Ovis aries: one gene and its partners. The protein of the gene in region 2 interacts with the protein of the main gene of each other region in a pairwise test. Links are inferred from orthologs where the notes say so. Each region holds a gene or a part of one and is shown on either strand. Other genes may lie near its edges.

What was found.
Region 1: the proteins of AKAP9 (region 2) and PKN1 interact in a two-hybrid assay, tested with the Homo sapiens proteins (2 studies listed by BioGRID). The link is inferred for Ovis aries from reciprocal best matches to the Homo sapiens genes AKAP9 and PKN1.
Region 3: the proteins of AKAP9 (region 2) and C1H1orf94 interact in binary tests that used the Homo sapiens proteins (3 or more experiments, as listed by UniProt). The two-hybrid records come from large-scale screens. The link is inferred for Ovis aries from reciprocal best matches to the Homo sapiens genes AKAP9 and C1orf94.

The regions. Positions count from the first base shown.
Region 1 is NC_056058.1:9,645,125-9,652,609, reverse strand, and holds the start of PKN1 (serine/threonine-protein kinase N1), read left to right. Parts: upstream 1-3,281; 5' UTR 3,282-3,295; coding exon 3,296-3,334; exon of another isoform or gene 3,335-3,444; intron 3,445-4,438; coding exon 4,439-4,742; intron 4,743-7,405; coding exon 7,406-7,485. UniProt on the Homo sapiens protein: PKC-related serine/threonine-protein kinase involved in various processes such as regulation of the intermediate filaments of the actin cytoskeleton, cell migration, tumor cell invasion and transcription regulation.
Region 2 is NC_056057.1:10,195,516-10,201,714, forward strand, and holds part of AKAP9 (A-kinase anchor protein 9), read left to right. Parts: intron 1-407; coding exon 408-640; intron 641-2,490; coding exon 2,491-2,576; intron 2,577-3,889; coding exon 3,890-4,040; intron 4,041-4,873; coding exon 4,874-5,060; 3' UTR 5,061-6,109; coding exon of another isoform or gene 6,110-6,144; 3' UTR 6,145-6,199. UniProt on the Homo sapiens protein: Scaffolding protein that assembles several protein kinases and phosphatases on the centrosome and Golgi apparatus. Required to maintain the integrity of the Golgi apparatus. Required for microtubule nucleation at the cis-side of the Golgi apparatus.
Region 3 is NC_056054.1:9,140,163-9,146,904, forward strand, and holds part of C1H1orf94 (uncharacterized protein C1orf94 homolog), read left to right. Parts: intron 1-2,516; coding exon 2,517-2,762; intron 2,763-3,834; coding exon 3,835-4,010; intron 4,011-6,742.

The DNA of each region.
Region 1 (7,485 bases), on a different chromosome or scaffold from region 2:
CTCCCCCGAGCGCTAGGCGCCCCCTCCCAGGGCCAGCACCGTGGAGCCAGCGCAGTCTCCTCGGCAGGTGGAGGTACGCACGGGGGAGCGTGGGGGAGCGAGGGGAGTCCTACAACATCCCCAGCTCCGCCCTTCTCTGAGAATTAGAGGGGGCGCAGCGGAGGCTCGACTTCGGGTGTCTGTGGCTAGCTGGGCATCCCGGTGCCAGTCGACCCTGCCGCTCGCTCCCTCTCCTCAGCGTTCGGTTCCCCGGCAGGTGCCGCTCCACCTGAGCAGGTGCCTGGCGCGATGCCCCGGGAAGGGCGCAGGCCATTCGCCCCGTTTCTCCCACCCTCCCCCACGCACAACAAAGCTCCGGCGGCGGCACCCCCACCTCCGGACTGAGCTTTACGATGGTCGCGACGCTGCAGATTGGCACCTGTTGGCGGAAGTGCCAGAGTCACCTCTTTAGGTCTGGGGACCAGGGACCCACACAGCCAGCCACTCGGCTGCCAGGTGGAACCTTATCCCAGGATTCCGGGTGGGGAGTGTCCATGTCAATGAACTGGGGATTCTCTTACCTGGAATCCTGCCTGGACTGGGTCACCCCACAACCCACACATCAACACACACAGAGGCACAGGTGACTGACACCGAAGTGCCACCCACCCAGGTTCTCCCTGTGCCACCTTGTGGACATCGCAGCCTGGGACTCACCTGCCCTGCCTGTGGTAAGCAGGGCCAGAATGACTGCTGAAACCTCTCTGGGTCAGTGACCCAAATCTGAGACATGTCCTGTACCTCCGGTGCCCCCACAGTGCCTCATCAGCTCTCCATCGTCCTGTGGTTGCTGTGTAACTGGGTTCTCATCTCCTTCTGCACCTGCCCCCACATCCCCTTTGTGTCTCCCCCGTGACCCCCTGTCCCCCGCCCCAGTCCTGCTGATGGCCTGCCAGCCTTGCCGAGGAGCTGGGCGTATCTGGTGTTGCCGATCACACAAGGTCAGACCTTGGGGGCTGGGGAGGGCCTGGGTCCCTGCCTCTACCCCATCAGCCCTGGGAGGACAGTGTAGGACTCCGCTGGCACATGCATGCGTTTGGCATGTAGCAGACATGGCCTGGACGGAGACTGTGATTCCTGGACCGAGGCTGGACCTGCGCCCTGGTCCCCTTTCCCGTCTCCTGCCTGCTCTCTTCCCCCTACCCCACCCCACCACCACCCTCACCCCGTCCTAGTCATTCCTCTCTCTCTCGTGGCTGCTTGGGTCTGCTACCCCTGTCCCTCTGTCTGTCCCAGTGTGTGTGCCTGTCTGTTCTGTGTCCGGCAAACGGATGTCCTGTCCGGATTCCAGAAACGCCCAATGCATTGAAATCTCCGGACATGGGGTCTAGATCCCTGGTCACTCTAGGAAGAGGGAATTTCTGAGAAGTGGACCCTCTGGACCTGGGGCAGGGGAGGTGTTTTCTGCTTCTTGGAGGGTGTTGGGGATTCCCCAAGGCCAGGCCAGGCTCCTGATTCATGGGTTCATCTCGTTGGCCCTCAGGTGACCCCTGCCCTGGATAGGAGTGAGTCATCCAAGGAAGGAGAACCCGGGAGGCCCAGCCTCCCTCTCTCCCTCCTTTGCATATTCTCATCCCTCAGCTGCTGGAGGAGGTGGGGCTGAGGGATTCTGCTCCTCCCCCCAAACCCGGACTCCCCTCATTCAAGCTGGCCCCGCTCCTGGCTGCACCGCTGCTCTGCCTGCTGGGGACAGGGTGGGGCTGGGTGGCCGGTGGGACCTGGTTGATAGCAGGTGGTAGGAGGTGACCCTGGGTGTAAATTCCAGAGCTGCCACTTCGTCACAGTGTGTCCTAGGCCCAGCGCCATTCCCTCTTTGAGCCTTGGTTTCTGCCGTCAAAATTGAAAAAAAAAAAAAAATGTAGCCAAGAGAGTTTTCACGGTGAGGAAGGACGTAGACCAGGTCAGCCCCTTGCAGGTAGGGCTGCTGTGAAATCCTTACCAGTGGTCATGGCCAGCAGCTCAGGGTGTGAGTCTGTGTCCTTTAATCCAGGGTTTCTAAAGCTCAGCACTATTGACATTTGGGGCTGAATCATTCTTGGAGGTGGAGGCTCTCGTGTTTACAGTGGAATGTCAAGCAGTTTCCATGAACTCAACCCCATAGAGCCTAGTAGCAGCCCCAGTTATGACAACCAACCCAGAATGGCTCTGGATATTGCCAGCTGCCCCCAGAAGTGAGGTGGGAGTGTTGGCAATCCCCTCCGCCATTGAGAACTGCTGCTGCCATCCCTCTGAGGCTCAGTCTCCTCACCTGTAAAGTAGGAGGGGAAATATGGCAGCTGCTCAGGATAAAATTGAGGGGTCAGTAGGATCATGGGAGTGACACTTTAGGCCTGAAGTAAATCTTCTCTGGGGGCAGCTGCCCTTGAAGTTGATCGAGAGTGAACCCTGACTTTCCTCATCTCTGAAATGGGGTCTCACCGTGGCGGCAGATAATATATGCGGGGCTCTTCCTGCCTGGCTGACAACTAGCTCTGATTCTGGGCACTCTTGTTGGAAATCTTAGTTCTGTCTCCTGCTGGCTATGAGGCTTTGGGCAAGTTAGGTCACCGCCCCAGGCCTCGGTTTCCTCATCTGGAAAACGGAGTGATAGTAGCACCTCCTGGAATGGCGTTAGTTGACCTGGTGTGCAGCTTGTAGTAACCTCCATGGTTCTTAATCATACTTGAGCTTAAGTGGAGACACTGGTACTCCAGCCCTGCAGAGCTGTCTCCTCATGATGTGGGCCTCAGGGAGGTACCGCAGGGCCGGCCGGGCCCCCAGGCCTCCAAGCTGTGGTCAGCAGCAGCAGGCAACCAAGCTGAGAAGAAGCCGGAAGTTGGGACAGGAAAGGGGCTGGCCCGCCCATGTAAGCACTTGTGGGTGTTGGTGTATATAAGTATATACAGGGGGTGGGGGGTGGGCACACACTGGCCAGCCTGTGATGCCTGTAGGTGTATAAGTGTGTTGTAGGGAAGCTATATGTGGGGAAGGCTGTTCTTCATGTCCACACTAGCGGGCCCGTGTGTGTGTGCCTGCTGCGTACACCTTGGGCATCCTCAGGACAGGGAGCAGAGGGGCCACCCCTGGGATGACCCCAGAGAAGCAGGCTCAGCCCTCGAGTGGGGGCTGAGAGGAAGGTGCTCTTGATGCCCCAGAGCCCCAGAGCTGGCCTTCGCAGGGGTTGCTGGGAGCCAGCAGGAAAGAGGAAGTAGCAGGCGAGAGGCCCTGGCAGGGCTGAGGTTCAGGAAGAGGGCGGGGCCCTCAGCCGGGGCCCAGGATGGCGGAGGCTGATCCCCCTTTGGACCCGGAGCTGGAGGTGGGGGCTGGGGTCCTTGTGGGGGAGGGGCAGCAGAAGAGGACCCCAAGTGGCACAGGCCGGAGGGGCCCTGCCCTCGGTACCGCTTGGTTTTGGACTGAGGAGAGGAGGTGGGATGCTGGCTTTGGAGTTTTCTGTTTGAAAGATGAAACTGTTTGGGGCCCTTTGAGCTTCCAGGTTGGGGGGATAGAGGAGGAAGGGAACAGTGCTCTTTTCTTTGGGGTCCCAGTTGTAGATGACAAAAGGAGGGGAGATGGCGCTTGGCCCCCGGATCTCCAAGTTAGGGGGTACAGCAGGGAACAGACAAAACCTGTCTCCAGGCCCTCCTGGTTTGGGGTTACCGCAGGGAATAGACAAGGCCTGGCCCTGGGTCCTCCTAGTTTGGGGTTACAGCAGGGAATAGATGAGGCCTGTCCCTAGGTCCTCCTAGTTCAAGGGTACAGCCAAGAGGAGAAGGAACTTGCTCTTGGAACCCCAACCTTGTGGTCTGGGGGGCATCACAGGCCTGCCCTTGATACTTCCTCATTTGGGGAGCAGCAGAAGGAAGATGAAAGCTGCCCTCAGGCCCTCCTAACGTGGGGCATAAGGGAGCAGAGATGGGGCCTGCCTTTGGGACCTCCTAGTTTAGGGGGGCAGCAGAGGGGAGAGGGGGTCTCCCCTCAGGACCTGGTCATTTGGGGGCAACAGAGGGAGACAAAGCCTGTTCTTGGGCCCCCCTAATTTGGGAGGACAGTGGAAGGAGAGCTAGGGCCTGACCTTGGGGACCCCGAGCTGTGGGGACCCAGTGATGGGGCAATGGAATCTGCCCTGCAGGATCCCACTGCATGAGGACAGTGAGGGAAGACTGAAGTGTACCTGTGGTCCTCTTGTCTGAGGTGACAGGCAAGGAGAAGGCCCTGCCCTTGGGACCTCACAGTTTGGAGGTGTCAGGAAGCAGGCACAGGGCCTTGTCTCACCTCCCAGTTTTGGGGGACTGTCGGAGGACATGGAGCAGGGCCTGTGTCAGTAGTCCCCCCCCAGGAGGAGGCCGGGCCAGGTCAGCTGAATGTGGTCTGCACTGCCAGAGCCGCTCTGGCCCCACTGACCCTGCTCCGTCCCCCGCAGAGTGAGCCACGCAGCTGGTCCCTGCTGGAGCAGCTGGGCCTGGCAGGTGCCGACCTGGCAGCCCCTGGGGTACAGCAGCAGCTGGAGCTGGAGCGGGAGCGTCTGCGGCGGGAGATCCGTAAGGAGCTGAAGCTGAAGGAGGGTGCAGAGAACCTGCGGCGAGCCACCACTGACCTGGGCCGTAACCTCGGTCCCGTGGAGCTGGTGCTGCGCGGCTCCTCACGCAGGCTTGACCTGCTGCACCAGCAGCTGCAGGAGCTGCATGCCCACGTGGTGCTGCCCGACCCCGCGGTGGGCGTGCACGGTAAGCCAGGCTTCCCTGGGCTGGGGGGTGGGGGATGCGGGACTGGGGGCCTCCACTGCCCAGGGCTCACCCACTGTGTCCCAGGGTGCGGCCGGCCAGCCCATTGCCACTGCCTCCCAGGGAGACACACTCGGTCACGGCAGCTTCCAACCTGAAAATGCAGGTGGCTGCTATCACTGCTGACAAGTGCTCAGTCGTGTCCAACTCTGTGTGACCCTGCGGACTGTGGCCCGCCAGGCTCCTCTGTCCAGTGGAATTCCCCAGGCAAGAATACTGGAGTGGATTGCCATTTCCTTCGCCAGGGCATCTTCACGACCCAGGACTGAACCTGCATCTCTTGCGTCTGCTGCATTGGCAGGCGGATTCTTTACCAGTAGTGCCACCTGGGAGGCCCCAATACAGGCAGACAAAAGGCCCAAACCAACACTCAGGGAAAGGTACACACAGTCACACCCACAGCTGGGCAACACCAAAGGCTTACACGGTATCACACCAATATCCAGACTCACAGTCACACCCACACCCGGACAACACCAAAGGGCTTACACGGTATCACACCAATATCCAGAGTCACAGTCACACCCACATCTGGACAACACCAAAGGGCTTACACGGTATCACACCAATATCCAGAGTCACAGTCACACCCACACCTGGACAACACCAAAGGGTTTACACGGTATCACACAAATATCCACAGTCACAGTCACAATCACACCCACACCTAGACAACACCTATAGGCTCCAACTGATTAAAAAATTTTTTTAATTGTGATTAAAAAAACACAACACCTGAGAGTATAACAGCGTTGTTAGTTGGCTGTTGTTACTGCTTCCGTTTAGACCCCATGTTTGTGACCCCATGGACTGCAGCCTGCTAGGCCCCTCTGTCCATGGGATTTTTCAGCAAGAAGACTGGAGTAGGTTGCCATTTCTTTCTCCAGGGTATCTTCCCAACCCAGGGATTGAACCTGCATCTCCTGCTTAACAGGCAGATTCTTTACCACTGAGCCACCAGGGAAGTCCCTTAATCACCTATATTCCAATATAAAATAAAACGTTTTGGAAAAAAACACATTACAGAAAACGTATCATTTTTAAGCATACAGCTCAGTGGTGTTGAGTATTTTCACATTTTTGTGCAAGGAATCTGCAGAACTTTTTCATCTTACAACTAAAAGATGTAACACACATCACATCAGTAGCCAGAGACCCTCACACACAGTCACGCCAGCACCCAGACTACTCTGAGGGCCCACCCTGTGGCTCAGCGGTACAGAATCTGCCTGCAGTGCAGGAGATGTGGGTTCGATCCCTGGGTCGAGAAGATCCCCCAGAGAAGGGAATGGCAACCCGCTCCAGTATTCTTGGCCTGGGAAATCTCATGGACAGAGGAGCCTGGCCGTCTACGCTCCATGGGTTGCTAAACAGTCGGACGTGACTGAGTGACTAAACAGTAGCAGCATTATTCTGTGAATACCCAGAGACGTCCATACTGCCAGCCAGTGCCCAGATAAATGCATACGCAATCACACCAACACACACACAAAACCTGAGGACTCACACACGCTCACAGCAACACCCAGAGATTCAGACACACAGAGCCGCTGCCACAGGAGTTTACCAACCCATAAACAGCCTGATACTTAACACAGTCAACTGGACAAGACCTGAGACTCAGCATCACTTAGCCCAACACCCACACACCTCTTTGGTGTGTCAATAGCTGGAGGCTAACACTATCAGACGGAGAAGGCAATGGCACCCCACTCCAGTACTCTTGCCTGGAAAATCCTATGGATGGAGGAGCCTGGTAGGCTGCAGTCCATGAGGTCGCTAAGAGTCGGACACGACTGAGCGACTTCACTTTCACTTTTCACTTTCATGCCTTGGAGAAGGCAATGGCAACCCACTCCAGTGTTCTTGCCTGGAGAATCCCAGGGACGGAGGAGCCTGGTGGGCTGCCGTCTGTGGGGTCGCACAGAGTTGGACACGACTGAAGCAACTTAGCAGCAGCAGCAACACTATTGGATCAACACTTGAAGATAATGAAAGAGTTCAGCCAACGCTCAAAACCTCATCCTGTCACAGCTGTACCCAGAGTGCCTCTGATGGTCATACCACTCTCTGGAGATTGACACAGAGCTGTCCAGAGACATACATGTCCAGCTGTTCCAGCACTCGGATGCTGTCACACCAGCGCCAGGAGATCTGAATGCTCAGTTCTGCTGACAGTTGCAGACGTGCACAGAGCCATCCCCATCACCCAGAATCTCACAGAGGCATTCTAACACCTCACATCTCACAGTTACACTGGCACCTGGGGAGACACACTCAGTTATGCCAGCACCCTGAAGGTCACAGACTTAACCACAGCCACACCCGCTGACGCCTACACAGCCTTGCACATCTTTGGGGTGTATATACCTTCTCTACAAAGGTATACACGATCACACCAACGACTAACACACACCTGTGTTCATTCACACTGGTCCTGCCCCAGCCCTGAAAGGGTTTCCCTATGAGGGCTGGTGGGGAGTGGACCCTGTGGCCCCCAGCTCTTCCTCCTCACAGGCCTGGGGTGGATCCTCTCAGCTGGCGCAAAAGCACCTGGGCAGTTGGAGAGGAGGGCTGTGGTGACTTTGCCCCATCCACCCCTCCAGATGCCCCCCAGTCCCCTGGCACAGGTGACTCTGCCTGCTCAGCCACCAACTTGAGCCGCGTAGCCGGTCTGGAGAAGCAG
Region 2 (6,199 bases):
CAAAAAAAAGAAAATGTTTGTAATATTTATTCCAACTATGGCGTGAATGTAAGTTTATGACGTTTAAAGAGATAGAAAATATTAACATTGAAAAAGTTAAATGTGGTGATAATAATAAAAGTAGCTCTGTATTATTATACTCTGTACTCTAAAAGCTTTATACTATTTTTGGCTGAGACAAAAATATTTACATTAAATACAACTAATAGGAGCTAAAATTCATGGACTAAATGGAAGTGGAAGTATCAAGGTCTAGCTTTACTTTTCACTTTGCTGGTAAAATAGAAAACAGTGATCAGGTACCAGCCGTTCTACTCCTGCTACTTTTTAAAAATAAAGTCTAGATTATCCTCCCCTGCAGAACGGTTTGAATAATGTCCTTCTGTTTTTCTTCCCTTTAAACACAGAGGATTTATGGCAAATACCTGAGGGCAGAAAGCTTTCGGAAAGCTCTCATTTATCAGAAGAAATACCTGCTTCTGTTACTGGGCGGGTTCCAGGAGTGTGAGGAGGCCACCCTGGCCCTCCTGGCCCGCATGGGGGGACAGCCGGCCTTCACAGACCTGGAGGTGATCACCAACCGACCAAAGGGCTTCACCAGGTTTCGGTCAGCCGTCAGAGTGTCCATGGCGATTTCCAGGTGAGGTACTCGAGAGAAAAGGCATTGAGTAGAGAATGCATTTTCGCATTCTGAGAAACTTGGTTATTTTTCGTCCTCTCTCTCTGCTCTGCCTTCTGCGCCCTGTAGTCATCCAGTAGGAGTCACTTGCCGTCACTGAAACACGCCTCCCTCTGTGCAGGTTTTCATCCTCTAGTAAGGGAGGGGAACTTCACCTCATACCGGACAGACCCTACGGAAAGGGCCCTCCCAGAGGCAGCCAGCCAGTGACTCAGCTGGAATATCCGGTCTGGGTGGTCCCTCTCTCTTTTTTTTTTAATCTAAATAAGCCCATGAACTAGTTCAGACGTATAAAGGAAAGAGATCATAACGGAGAAAACTGTTTTTTGAAAAGTTACCTCGGCTGACATAGCTTCGTTTTCTTCACTACTACCACGGCCCCTCCAGCAGCCCAACTGTTGAAATCCCTGGCATGAGTCTGTGTTGGGCTCTGCTGGGGCATTTGCTGCTCCTTTTCTGGCCCTTCCAAGCTAGGCACTCCCACGCTCACTCTGTATGTGGCTGAAGTGGAGCCAAGAATCTGACTCCCTTGACGACCCAGCCTCCCGCCGCCCTCTCACCTGGCTGGATGCACCCAGACACCTCGATGCTTTGTCCTTGCTGCCCCTCCCTCTGCTTCTGTAGGAGGCAGACAGTCTCAAAGGACATTTTTTTTAAAGTACTATCCAATCCCATTGTATTCAGGTTACTCACAAGTACCTCAGAAGGCCACAGAGGCAGAATAAGAGGTGGTATTAGTGTTTTTGTGTCCTGGGGACCATGTGCTATCTCTCAGCTCCTCACTGCCCTTCTCAGCTGGCCTCCACACTGCCAGGACCTTACAGCCTGCAGACTGTGTCTCCCAGATGGCTTCCTGTCTGGTTCTGACATTTCTCAGCACTGGTACAAGAATTAGAGGGTTGGAGAAAGCAAAGAGCTTTCTTCCTTCCTTTCATTCCCTTCATTACCTGGTACAGCCTATACAGGGTTTAAGTGCTGGGAGGTGCGTTGACAAAGAAAAGAGACTTAATCCTTGAAGGCCAAAGGCTGCTCACTCTCTCCTGGGCAGAGCAATATGCACGGACCTCCCGGCAGTAAGTGAGAGGTCACAAGAGTTAGCTGTTCATCTCTGTTTCAAGGACTCGGGAAGGCTCCTTGAGAGCCTGTTACCGTTGAAGGACTTCACACTGTCACTGTCTTCTTCTCTTGTATGTTCGTTGTATTTTGACTGTCCTAAAAACCGAGCCTTGAAACTAGTTGGAATAAGAAATCAAAACTGGTGCTCCATGAGCTCTTAGGGACAGAATGGGGCAGGCAGCAACTTGCTACAGCTGAGTTGTGACATAGCAACCCCTGTTCCTTATGAAGCCAGCACTGTATTTCATCCCTGACTGCATGGCCTCACTCCTTTTCCTGCTTCCCCACTCGCTCTCACTGCCAACTTAAGGATCTTTCTGTTCTCCTTCCATCTCCTCTGCCCTTGGGCTCCATGCTTTTCTCCTCTTTCCATTTTTCCTCGCCCTTTCTTTGCCCGTCCAGCTCCCCTTTTCTGTTACGTTTGCTCTTCCTCTCTTTGTGTTCCGCGTTCCTCTAAAGCCAGAACATGGTCCTGGCAGCAGAAGCCCTCTGTGTCTCGCGGGAAAAGCCCTGCTCTGTTTCAGTTAGTTTCATCACAAACCAGGGGACATTTACAAAATATTAACCATGTGATTATATTGAAATTTTATCTGTATTAATATTTAAATGTATGACTTGGATTCTGTAGAAAGTGTGTGTCTATACTCTTTACACTATAGATGTTCTGTGAAATTTTCCATTGGAATCTTTTTTAGAATGAAATTTTTGGTTCGACGGTGGCATCGAGTCACAAGTTCTGGTTCCATCAATATTAACAGGGATGGCTTTGGATTGAATCCAGGTGAAGTCAAAATAGAATTTTTTCTTATGTTGATGATTTCTCTAAAATTACTGCATACCTTCCAAGTAATGTGTTCTGGGACCTGTGTTGTCCAAAGGCAGAGCCCTTATAACTAACAAAGCTGAGGACCTTGCTGTTCTGAAGAATAGTAAAAGAGCTGATTTTTATGGCACGCTTAGTTCACACTAGGCCCCACTCTTTTCCATGTATTCTCACAATTCTGTGACGTAAGCAAAATTATGGATGAAAAACTGAAGCACAGAAAGCTTTTGTCATTTGCAACAAATTACCCGGTAGGAAATGGTGGCCCTAGCAGTCGGCTCCAGAGCCCACTCTTTGTTCAGCTGCATTTTAGGTTCTGGTTTGAGATAGGATTGCTCTTACTCTATTATGTGGAAGTTTCAATTTGAAGTTTTCACAATTTAGCAATATTAAACAGGTTTCTGGGTTTACCAATAGGTGATATAAAAGTTAAAAATCCTTGTCTCTATACTCAAACACTAGGGCTTCAGCATTTCAGGCAAAAGGAGCAGATCAGAAGCTGGGGAGCACACGGAGCTATAGACACACAGCATAGCTGACATGCACTGGTAGTGAACCACCTTTTCATCTTCTGTGCAGAGGCAGAAGAAATAGGTTTGGTATTATTCTAAAAGAAGTGTTTTTGAAACATGCATCCCAGTGGCTCAGTGGTAAAGAAGCTCCCTACTAACGCAGGAGATGCGAGTTCAATCCCTGGGTCAGGAAGATCCCCTGGGAAAGGGAATGACAACCCCCTCCAGTATTCTTGCCTGGAGAATTCCATAGACAGAGCAGCCTGGAGGGCTACAGTCCATAGGGTCACAAAGAGTCAGACATGACTGAGCACGCACACATACATCCTTATACTGAAACAGCTGAAATTTAAACCGTAATGAACTCTGTGTTGTAAGTTAGTATGTCTTGGTTCCAGTTTTTTCCAATGAAAGTCAGTAGAATAGAGTGATGAAAGGACTTAATAGAACTAACAGTCTAATATTGTTCATCCACATTGCCTTTTCTCATAACACACACACTTAGACACTCCTCACTCAGAGTAAGAAAGTAAAATTTTTTCTTAGAGGTATAGTTCCAGATTATCAAATTCTGATGTTCAAAGGTAAAAAAAATACGCTATACTATTGTTTCTCTAGCAATTTATCTTGCTATTTCTGTAGCAAGAATAATTGAAAATGATTATAAATAGGAGATAGTGTAGTACAGTGCAATCTTTTGAACCTTATCTGTTTTGTAGAAATTTTTCAAGGGCTTGGTATTTTTCTTTTCTTTACAAGGTACATTTTGGATTACTTTAGGTGCAGAAAAGACTGACACATTTTATCATTCTCCTGGCGGGCTGGAGCTCTATGGAGAACCGAGACATACTGCATACCGCTCAAGATCAGATCTGGACTATCCAAGGTCTCCTTTGCCGTTTCAGAATAGGTAAGAGTTTGATAAAATCTATACCAGTGTTGTAACTGTTCAGTCACTAAGTCATGTCCAACTCTTTGTGACTTCATAGACTGTAGCACACTAGGATTCCCTGTCCTCCACTATCTCCTGGAGTTTGCTCAAACTCATGTCCATTGAATTGGTGATGCCATCCAACCACCTCATCCTCTGTCACCCCATTATCCTCCTGCACCCCCCCCCCAGTCTTTCCCAGCATCAGGGTCTTTTCCAGTGAGTCAGCTCTTTGCATCAGGTGGCCAAAGTATTGGTGCTTCAGATTCAGCATCAGTCCTAATAACAGAGAATGAAGAACACTCTTGGGTCTTTGACTTCTTTGCAATGAAATAGCTAAACATGTCGTTAGTTATATATTGTTTACATAAGCTAATGCCCAGAACCAAAAATAGTTTTTGAATTTGTAATTGGTTTCCAGGGGTAAAGGAAACAGAGCTGATCAAGCATTATTCAGTATATGTGCTGTGGCTAGACATTAAGAAAGGCATTAACTAAAATTGAGTCTCTGGAATTATGAAGAAAAATCTCTGAAGTTTGCAGGACAAGATGCACTTATACACTTGAGCCTTCATTGATGTTCTCTGCAGTAGCAGTTGTGTTGGACATTCTTTTGATGACTTAGTGACTGCTTTGAATTTATTGACAACTTTTTTCCTTAACACATGGCAGACTCAGAGGTGGGGGGATGCATATAGATTGGGGAGTATACATGTGGTCTGCCTTTTGAGGGCAGGGTGGAGGTAGGTTGGTAAGTTACTTGCATTGTTTCTGGATAATCTGGATTCATCTTCATATTTTTAATCTCATAGGTACCCAGGCCTTCCAGCTGATTTAAACCCTGGTTCCTTAGCATGTTCTCAGCTTCAGAATTATGATCCCGACAGAGCCTTGACAGATTACATCACTCGGCTAGAGGCACTGCAAAGACGACTTGGAACTGTACAGTCAGGTACCCTCAGCTTAACCAAGTATTGGCAGCACCACAGTGCTAGATAGTCCTGGAACTCTTTCTCTTTTTTAAATTCTTTGACTTTCCTCATTATTAATCAAATTTTCTAGTTCAGTGCATGAGTTATCAGGCTACACTTTAGGAATTTAAGACAAAACAGGATTTATCACCCTGGATCCCACTCTTCCCCCAAAAAAATCCCTGCTCGTCTCATTGAGAAGATTAGGTGAGATGCACGATGAGCACCGATGTGCAGATACTCTGAAGCTTCCAGAGACTGCTGGAGGGCTTGTTCCAAAGCAGTCATTTCTGAGCATGCAGATAAGGCATAGGGAGGCGAGAGGAAGACAGGGGTTCTTTAATCACTTAGTGCAGCTATAATCTTTGTTCCGACCTTGTGCTTTTATGTATGATGCGAGGAACCCATCCCAGTCCAAAGACTGTAAGGATGACCTTTTATTTGTTCTCCTCAAAAACACACAAAAAATTTCATTCTTAGAAGTGGATTGTGAGAAAAACCTCTTTCCCTCTATTCAGTTCACTCCTGATTCAAAGGTTTTCAATCATTTCAATTTAATGACCTTTAGGTCAACTTTCATACACACAGACAGACATATTATATATATATATAACTATTATTAGAGACCCTTTTTTCTGCTATTCCTACAAAATAGATAGGACTCATCACTGGTTATTTTTAATAGTTTATCTCTTCATACAAGAAATTGTCCAACTCAAACAACTTGTTGCTATAGGAAACTTATTATCATAGCTGGACTTCGTTGGTCTGAGCATCTAAATTTCACAGGATTTTGAAGAGCAAAATGTTGTATAGAACATTCAGCCCACAGGGCACTTTACAGAAAATCTTAATGTTAATCTCACTTAGCATGCTATGGAGACAGCCACAGACGCTTTTGAATATATATATTCAAAATCTCTTTTTAAAAAAATCACATTTGAATAAAACTTCTTTAAGAGCAAACAAAGCATTGTTTTTTAATGATAGGGAATAATCTTCTGCCCATCATGAACTAGTTAGTCTAAGTCACAATCTGATCTGAAATCATTGAACTATCCTGTTCCTGTCTTATAGGTTCAACTCAGTTTCATGCTGGCATGAGAAGATAATCCTTTGAAACATCATGAATTGATTTTAAACAGATTTCCTTTTGTAAATCAATGG
Region 3 (6,742 bases), on a different chromosome or scaffold from region 2:
GCCATCAGCAGTCACTGGGAGGAAGCTGGAAGAAAAACTCCCCCCAGGCTGTGAGAGATGGGTAAAGGAGAGATGCCTGTATTGGGAGGGCCCAGATCCATCTTCCTAAGAAAACAGGGACACAGTCACCCTAGAGAACATTCTGTAGGAGCATTTTAAGAACCCAAGGACTCCAAACTGTGGATGGCATGCTGGACTCTGGGTCCTGGGCAGGCCTCCAGGGGTCCAGGGGCTCTGGGGACGATAAGCTGTGTATGTGAGATGATGGGGCATACCCGGGGGAGGAGACATGCCTCCCACCTCCTTCTCTCCTCTGTCAGACAGGGCTGCTGGTTTGGAGACAGTTCTGTCCCACACACCTTCCCACCATTTGCATGTGTGTGTACAGGTGTGTGCGTGAAGGTGTGCTGAGAGGAACTTTGCAGATGGAAATGCAGTCTGGGCACATCTGAGTGTAACCCTTCTGTGTGTGTAGCTGTGTATGTGTGTGAGCACGCGAAAGGAATGGCAGGAAGGGATGTGTGTGTGTGTGTGTGTGTCTGTGTATATAGCCTTTGGAAGAGGGAGCTTTGGAGATGAGTGAGTGGCAAGTGTGTTTCAGGTGGCTGGGGTGGGCTGTGATGGCAGGTGTGTGGGCCTCTGGGGAGAGGGCTATTATTAGTGGGTACTGTTATCTCAGCACTGGCTGGGGGCCACACTCTGCAACGAGACAAGCTCTAGGAAAAGACACCAGGGACATGTTTTGCTAAAAACTGTCATTTTCTTCTGGCTCAGGCTAGAGCAGCTTTCTCCTTTGCTGGGATGGCAGTAAGCGGGCAGGCCCCATCCTGTCCAGACTCAGCCCCAAGGCCATGGGCTAGTGGGACTAAGAGTTGGTGGGATCGTGTCCACTCCCAACAGGTGATTATGGGCACAAGCCCTCTGATCCTATTGCTACCAGCATGATCCACTGTGCCCGCCATGTGTCCAGTGCCATTTCACAGCCAAGCTCCATGGAGACCAGGACCTCCAAGCTGGGAGAAGCATGAAGGTGCTGAGAGCAAGGCCCTCTTCTCTGCTTCAGCCAAGCAGTGCCTTAAAAAAAAAAAAAAAAATATATATATATATATATATATATATATGTATATATATATATGTATATATATTATACGCTTCTCTGGTGGCTCAGCAGTAAAGAATTGGCCCGCAATACAGGAGACCCAGATTATTTGGGTTCAGTCCCTGGATCAGGAAGATCCCCTGAAGGAGGGCATGGCAACCCACTCCAGTATTCTTGCTGGGAAAATCCTATGGACAGAGGAGCCTGGCAGGCTACAGTCCATAGGGTCACAAAGAGTCGGACGTAACTGAGCATACACGAACCATGTATTTACGCTTGCAGTATGGTGCATCCCCCTGCCATACTTTGTTGGAAGAAAGAGTTTTGTTGGAAGAAAGAGTTCCATCGCTCAAAAGGAAAATCGGGTGAAAAGCCACTGTTGTAGGGGGATCCTTGGTGGTCTAGGCAGTGTCCTTGCACAAGGGAGACTTGGTCTGTTTGGAGAGAGAGAGCTGAGCCTGGCACCGGCAGCAGCCAGTGGCTCACTCGTGCCTCTGTGCCTTTGCCTGCGGTCACCCATGGCTCTGGGTGCAGGGCCTCGCTGCAGACCTCCTCCTCCTGGAATCCCTCCGGTCCTCAGACAGAAGCTGTCTCAGCCGCCCTCTTCCCCCGCTGTGTCCCTCCATCACCTCACGGTCCCCATCTGCCTTGTCCCGGAGCTATTTCTGGGTCTGTCTCTCTCTTCCTCCGTGTTGTGAGTTCCTGCTGGGCCAAGTCTGGCTCTGACTCATCCAAGTGTCCCCAGGACTCAGGTCAGAGCCTGGCGCTGATGAGTGTGCTGAATCGCCACGACGACTTAGCAAGAGGAGAGTCTCTGACAAGGGACCAGCTGCGTGTTGTGTGGGAATGTGTCTGCGCCAACCACCCCCCCCCCCCACCGCCACTAAGCCAAGTGTGCTCCCTGAAGACAGGAACTATCCGGAACCTTTGTGATCCAACCTACAAATGGTTAGAGGGAAGGAAGGGAGGCAAAAAGAGGGAGAAAGGAAGAAGCGGCAGGGAGGAAAAGAGGAAGGAAGAAAAGAAAGAAAAGAAGGTAAGGAAAGAGAGGGAACTAAAAGGGAGGAAGTTTTTTAAGGAGGAGAGAATGGGATTAGGGAAGGGAGGATGGATGAGTGGATGGAAGGAAGGAAAGATGGATGGGTGGGTAAAAGGATGGATGGATGGGTGGACAGACGGAAGAAGACAAGAATGGATGAATGCATTCATGCATGCAAGGGTGTGAGACCGTCATGGGCGCTGGTCAGGGAAGGCTTCAGGGACTGGACTTGGACTGAACTTGGTTGAGAGAGAGCCCAGAGTGGTGGGAGTCTCAGGTGTGCTGCGGAGGATCCATGACTTTGTCCACAAGACCATGCTCCCCCCATCCAGCATGTGGTCTTCCAGAGTCACTGACTCAGCTTCTCTCCTGCTCTAGAACGGAACCCAGGTGCCAAGGAGCTGACCAGGGGCCGAGAGAGCCTCTTTCTCAGCCAGTGGTCCCCGAGCCGGAAGGACACCTGTGGTGAGGAGGGTGGCAGTGACCCCATGGCTCTGCCGGCCAAGAAGCCTGCCTGGCAGGCTGAGAAGAACCTGCTCTATGAGGTCCTTGGGGCCACCAAGAACCCAAGCGGGCAGCTGAAACTTCGTGGCAAAGTGGAGGTGGACAGGCTGGAGCTGAAACGTAAGCTGACCCTGCCCAGATCTCTCTATGCAGGAAGAGAGTCTATGCAGGAAGGGATTTCAGAAACCCTCATAGGCCCCTGGAGTAGCTCTGTCCTCAAACGGCTGTCATCCATGGGCAGGTCACTGTCTTTCCCTAGTCCTGTAAAATGGGGAAATGGCTTTCTTCCTGTGTCACCCCTACAGGGAAGAGCTCAAGAAATCTAGCTGACTTTCAGGGGTCACATGGGCCTTATTGGTGGTTAATTTGAATATAGCCCTGACTCAGCATGTCTTATGTCCCCTCAAGTTGCCTGAGCCAAAGAAAATCCCGTGCTTTAAGATTATTTCTACATTTTGAAAAAAAAAAAAAAGATCATTTCTACATTTCGATTATTCACGTCTCAGCTTTCTCTCCCTTGTACATCTAAAACTGTTTTAGTAAAACATTCTCCCCTCAACAAAAGGTGCTAAAAAGGGGACACTGATACCCCATCTCTAACTCTTAATCCCACAGGACATATTATAGAAGGAAAGAATCCAGGATTCATATCCTGAAACAACTCCATCAAATATCATTCATTCAGACTAATTTGGGATCTTACCAAAGGGGATTATATAATATTTTTAAATATTTTTAAAAAATGACTCTGGCATAGATGCAACACCTACATAAGGTCCTCGCTGTTGCCAAGTGCATGTCCCCAGTGGGGTGCTTTAACAATTTGATAAGAATGGCTTCCCACAGCGTAGCAATTGTTTGTATCAAACTGGATTTTTCCGAAGCACTTGAAGGAATATAGTTTTGCACGTAGGTGAGACAAGCTGGTTGATTGTATCTCTTGCTAAACTGCCTCCTTACTTGTGAGTCGTGAAGGAGATGCTCCATGGCAGACCATGCTGGGCCTCTCACCCCTTCCACGTTGGCAAGATGTGAACTAACAGTGTTTTCCTTGAGCTTTGAAGAACGCTCTGGGAGCCTTAAAATACCTGACTGGTGAGAACACTAACTCTGGGGGCAGTCATGGAGCTGGGGCAGGCTGGCCTCTCCCTTCCTCAATCACGAAACGTTCTACCTCTCCTGTGACTTACAGTTAACCCACCTGTGACCGGGGCCGACAAGAACAACCTCAAGTACACGGGGAACGTGTTCACCCCACGCTTTGCCACCGCTTTGACCTCAGCAACTCTGAACCAGCCCCTCTGGCTCAACCTGAACTACGCACCTCCGCCCGTGTTCACAAACCCCTCCACCTTCCCCCAGTACCAGGTGAGTGAGCAGGTCCGGGCCCAGTTATCCGGTGGTGGCCGTCCAGGGAGGCGCTGTGGCTCACAAGGAGCCTCATTCACAAAGAGCCGTGGGCTCATTAGTTACTTTCTTCACAGGGACACCATCAGACCGACTGCCAGATACGCGTGCGCATGCATCTCACACACACACACACACACACGCACACGCACACACACACGCGCGCACACACACGCACACACACGCGCACACACACGCGCGCGCGCACACACACACACGCGCACACACACAAGCGCGCACACACACATGCACACACACGCGCATACACACGCACACACACGCACGCGCACACACACATGCACACACACACGCACACACGCACACACGCACACGCGCACACGTGCACACACACGCACACACACGCACACACACACACACGTGTGCCTGTTTCTCATTTTCCTTTGTCTGGATTCCGGCTCACTCTGTGCTGTGTCTTTCAGAGCCGCTTGGCTAATCCTGGGCTGTGAAGTACTTGGGCTCCCAGGGAAGCCTGACCGACGGCACAGTCCTCGTTTCCCACCGCCTCCTGGGGCTTGCTTTGTAGTCGGATGACACGTGGCCTGGATTACTTGGGACAGTCCCCGTTTTGGTCTTTTGTCCCAGCATAATTATTCATTGTACCCCCTTTCACTCTCAAGCGTCCCAGATGACAAATTATGTGGCCGTTTTATTTCAACTACAACCTAGCAATCTTAGCTTCTACCGGCTGAGGTGGCTTGGTACACAGTCTTGGTCTTGGACTGAGAGCTAAGAGGCGTCAGACACAAAGGGGTGGGGGAAACGCTTGCAAGGCTGACGGTTTTACTCACACAACTTATTTACTCCGGGAAAATGTAGTTTCTTTCGTTCGTCTATTTAACTTAATCTCCTGTAAGAGCTGCCACCCACTGGGTAGAGAGATGAAAAAAAAATCAAATAAATGTCCATTCTGATTTAAACCATAGTCCGAACCAAGAGCTTAAATAGTCCCTCCAGGTAGTGTTCCGTTGCTCCACGACAGGTGCTCAGCGCCTAAGATTTCTCAGTCTTCTCTCCCCTCCCTGGCTGCTTGCCAGAATGGCGTGCAGGTGTACAGAAGGGGCAGGCCCCTGGGAGCCTGCTGCCCCAGCCCAGCCTGGCCGAGCCCAGGGAGGGCAAAGAGAGAAGGAGATACAACCTGAAGATCTTCTCGTTCTGCCCCTGTGCCCCTCCCCCTTCCACTGCCCCTGGGCTCCCAGTGGCATTTCCTCCTCCTCGACTGCAGCAGGCTTAGCATCCTGCATGAGAGGTGGGTCTTCTCTACTCCATGTGAAGCCCCTCTGAGCTGGCCCGCTGGACTTAGCCCCTGATTCTTAAAACAGGAACTGAAGTAAAGGGGTTTAGCATGGTCCTTTCTCTCCAAAGTTCTCTCCACCCTCTTTCTCAAGCCCCACCTTTGAGGTGAGACGGTGTAAGGAAGCGTGATCCATGGGAAAACCCCAGGTGCATCCATCCTGAATCTACCATATGCTCTCCTGGAGAAATACCCTGTTCACATCCTCATTGGTTCACCAGCTCCTTCACTGAAGTTCCTCCACCCTTGCACATTTGTTATTGAGTCATTTATCCCCGATGTACTCATTTGTATGTATTTATTTTCTCATTTAAACAATTAAAAAAAAAAAAAAAACTCCTTGCTTCACACTGACTGCAGGCTAGGGATTCCAAGGTGACTAGGAAGCTCGGAGTCCAGTATGAGTCAGGGACAAATCCAAGGCCAGCACGGTGTGCCCCTCACCTCTGAGAGAGAAACAACTGCATAATTTTATTTAGTGTAAATTGATTCACTCTCAAATGCACTCACTCACGGGGCTCACCATGTAAAGCTAATTTGCAGTGGTTTGTTTTGTAAAGAGGCGACAGTCTCTCTGCTATGTTAACTTCTTCTGACTTGACTTTTGGCATGGGTGAGATTTGGAAGTATTCTTCTAGCAAGAAGGTCCTTTGTCTTCAGAGATGCTGGTGTTTGCATCACAGGGCTGACTCTGAGCTTCCTGGGCCTCTGGGCAGAAAGGCCCTGGCTGGTAGGGCCCCTTGCTTCTGTGCAGCACTTTAGACGCTGACTGAGCCCAGCTGAAGTCACTTGTACACGCCGACCCTCCCAAGGGGTAACAACAGACAGCGTGACTTACCTTTTCCCAGCTTCTCATGATTTCATGATACCAACCAGCTTCAACACAGCTGATCAAGGGGTCTGATATGATCAAAAGAAGCCAGGTTTTAGAATCATCAGAATTGGATTTAAGGGAATTGTGCTACTTGCGAGCTGTGTGGCCTTGGGCAAGTTAGCCAAATGTTCTGAGCCCTGGTCTCCTCACCTATGAAATGGCCTCATAATAATTACAGTGGCAGCAAATACTTGAGTCAATTGTAAGGTTAATTGAGTCCATGGATGGGAAAGGGCTTTGTAAAATCTCAAGTATGATACAGATGTTGGTTCTTATTGTTGCTCAGCCCTGGTCTTCCTGGGACACGGGGTCAGGGAGGTCTGCAGACCTTGAGAAGGCACACAGGAGAAACAGGGAACAGTCTATCCCAGTCTCTCTTTCCTGCTTGACGTTAGGAATAAAGATGAGGTCCCAAATCCAGTTTACTCAGAGCTTTGCAGGGGACGGACGAAGAGCCGTGGAAGACTAACTCCCCAGCACCCAGGAGCTCCAAAGAGAATCCCAGCT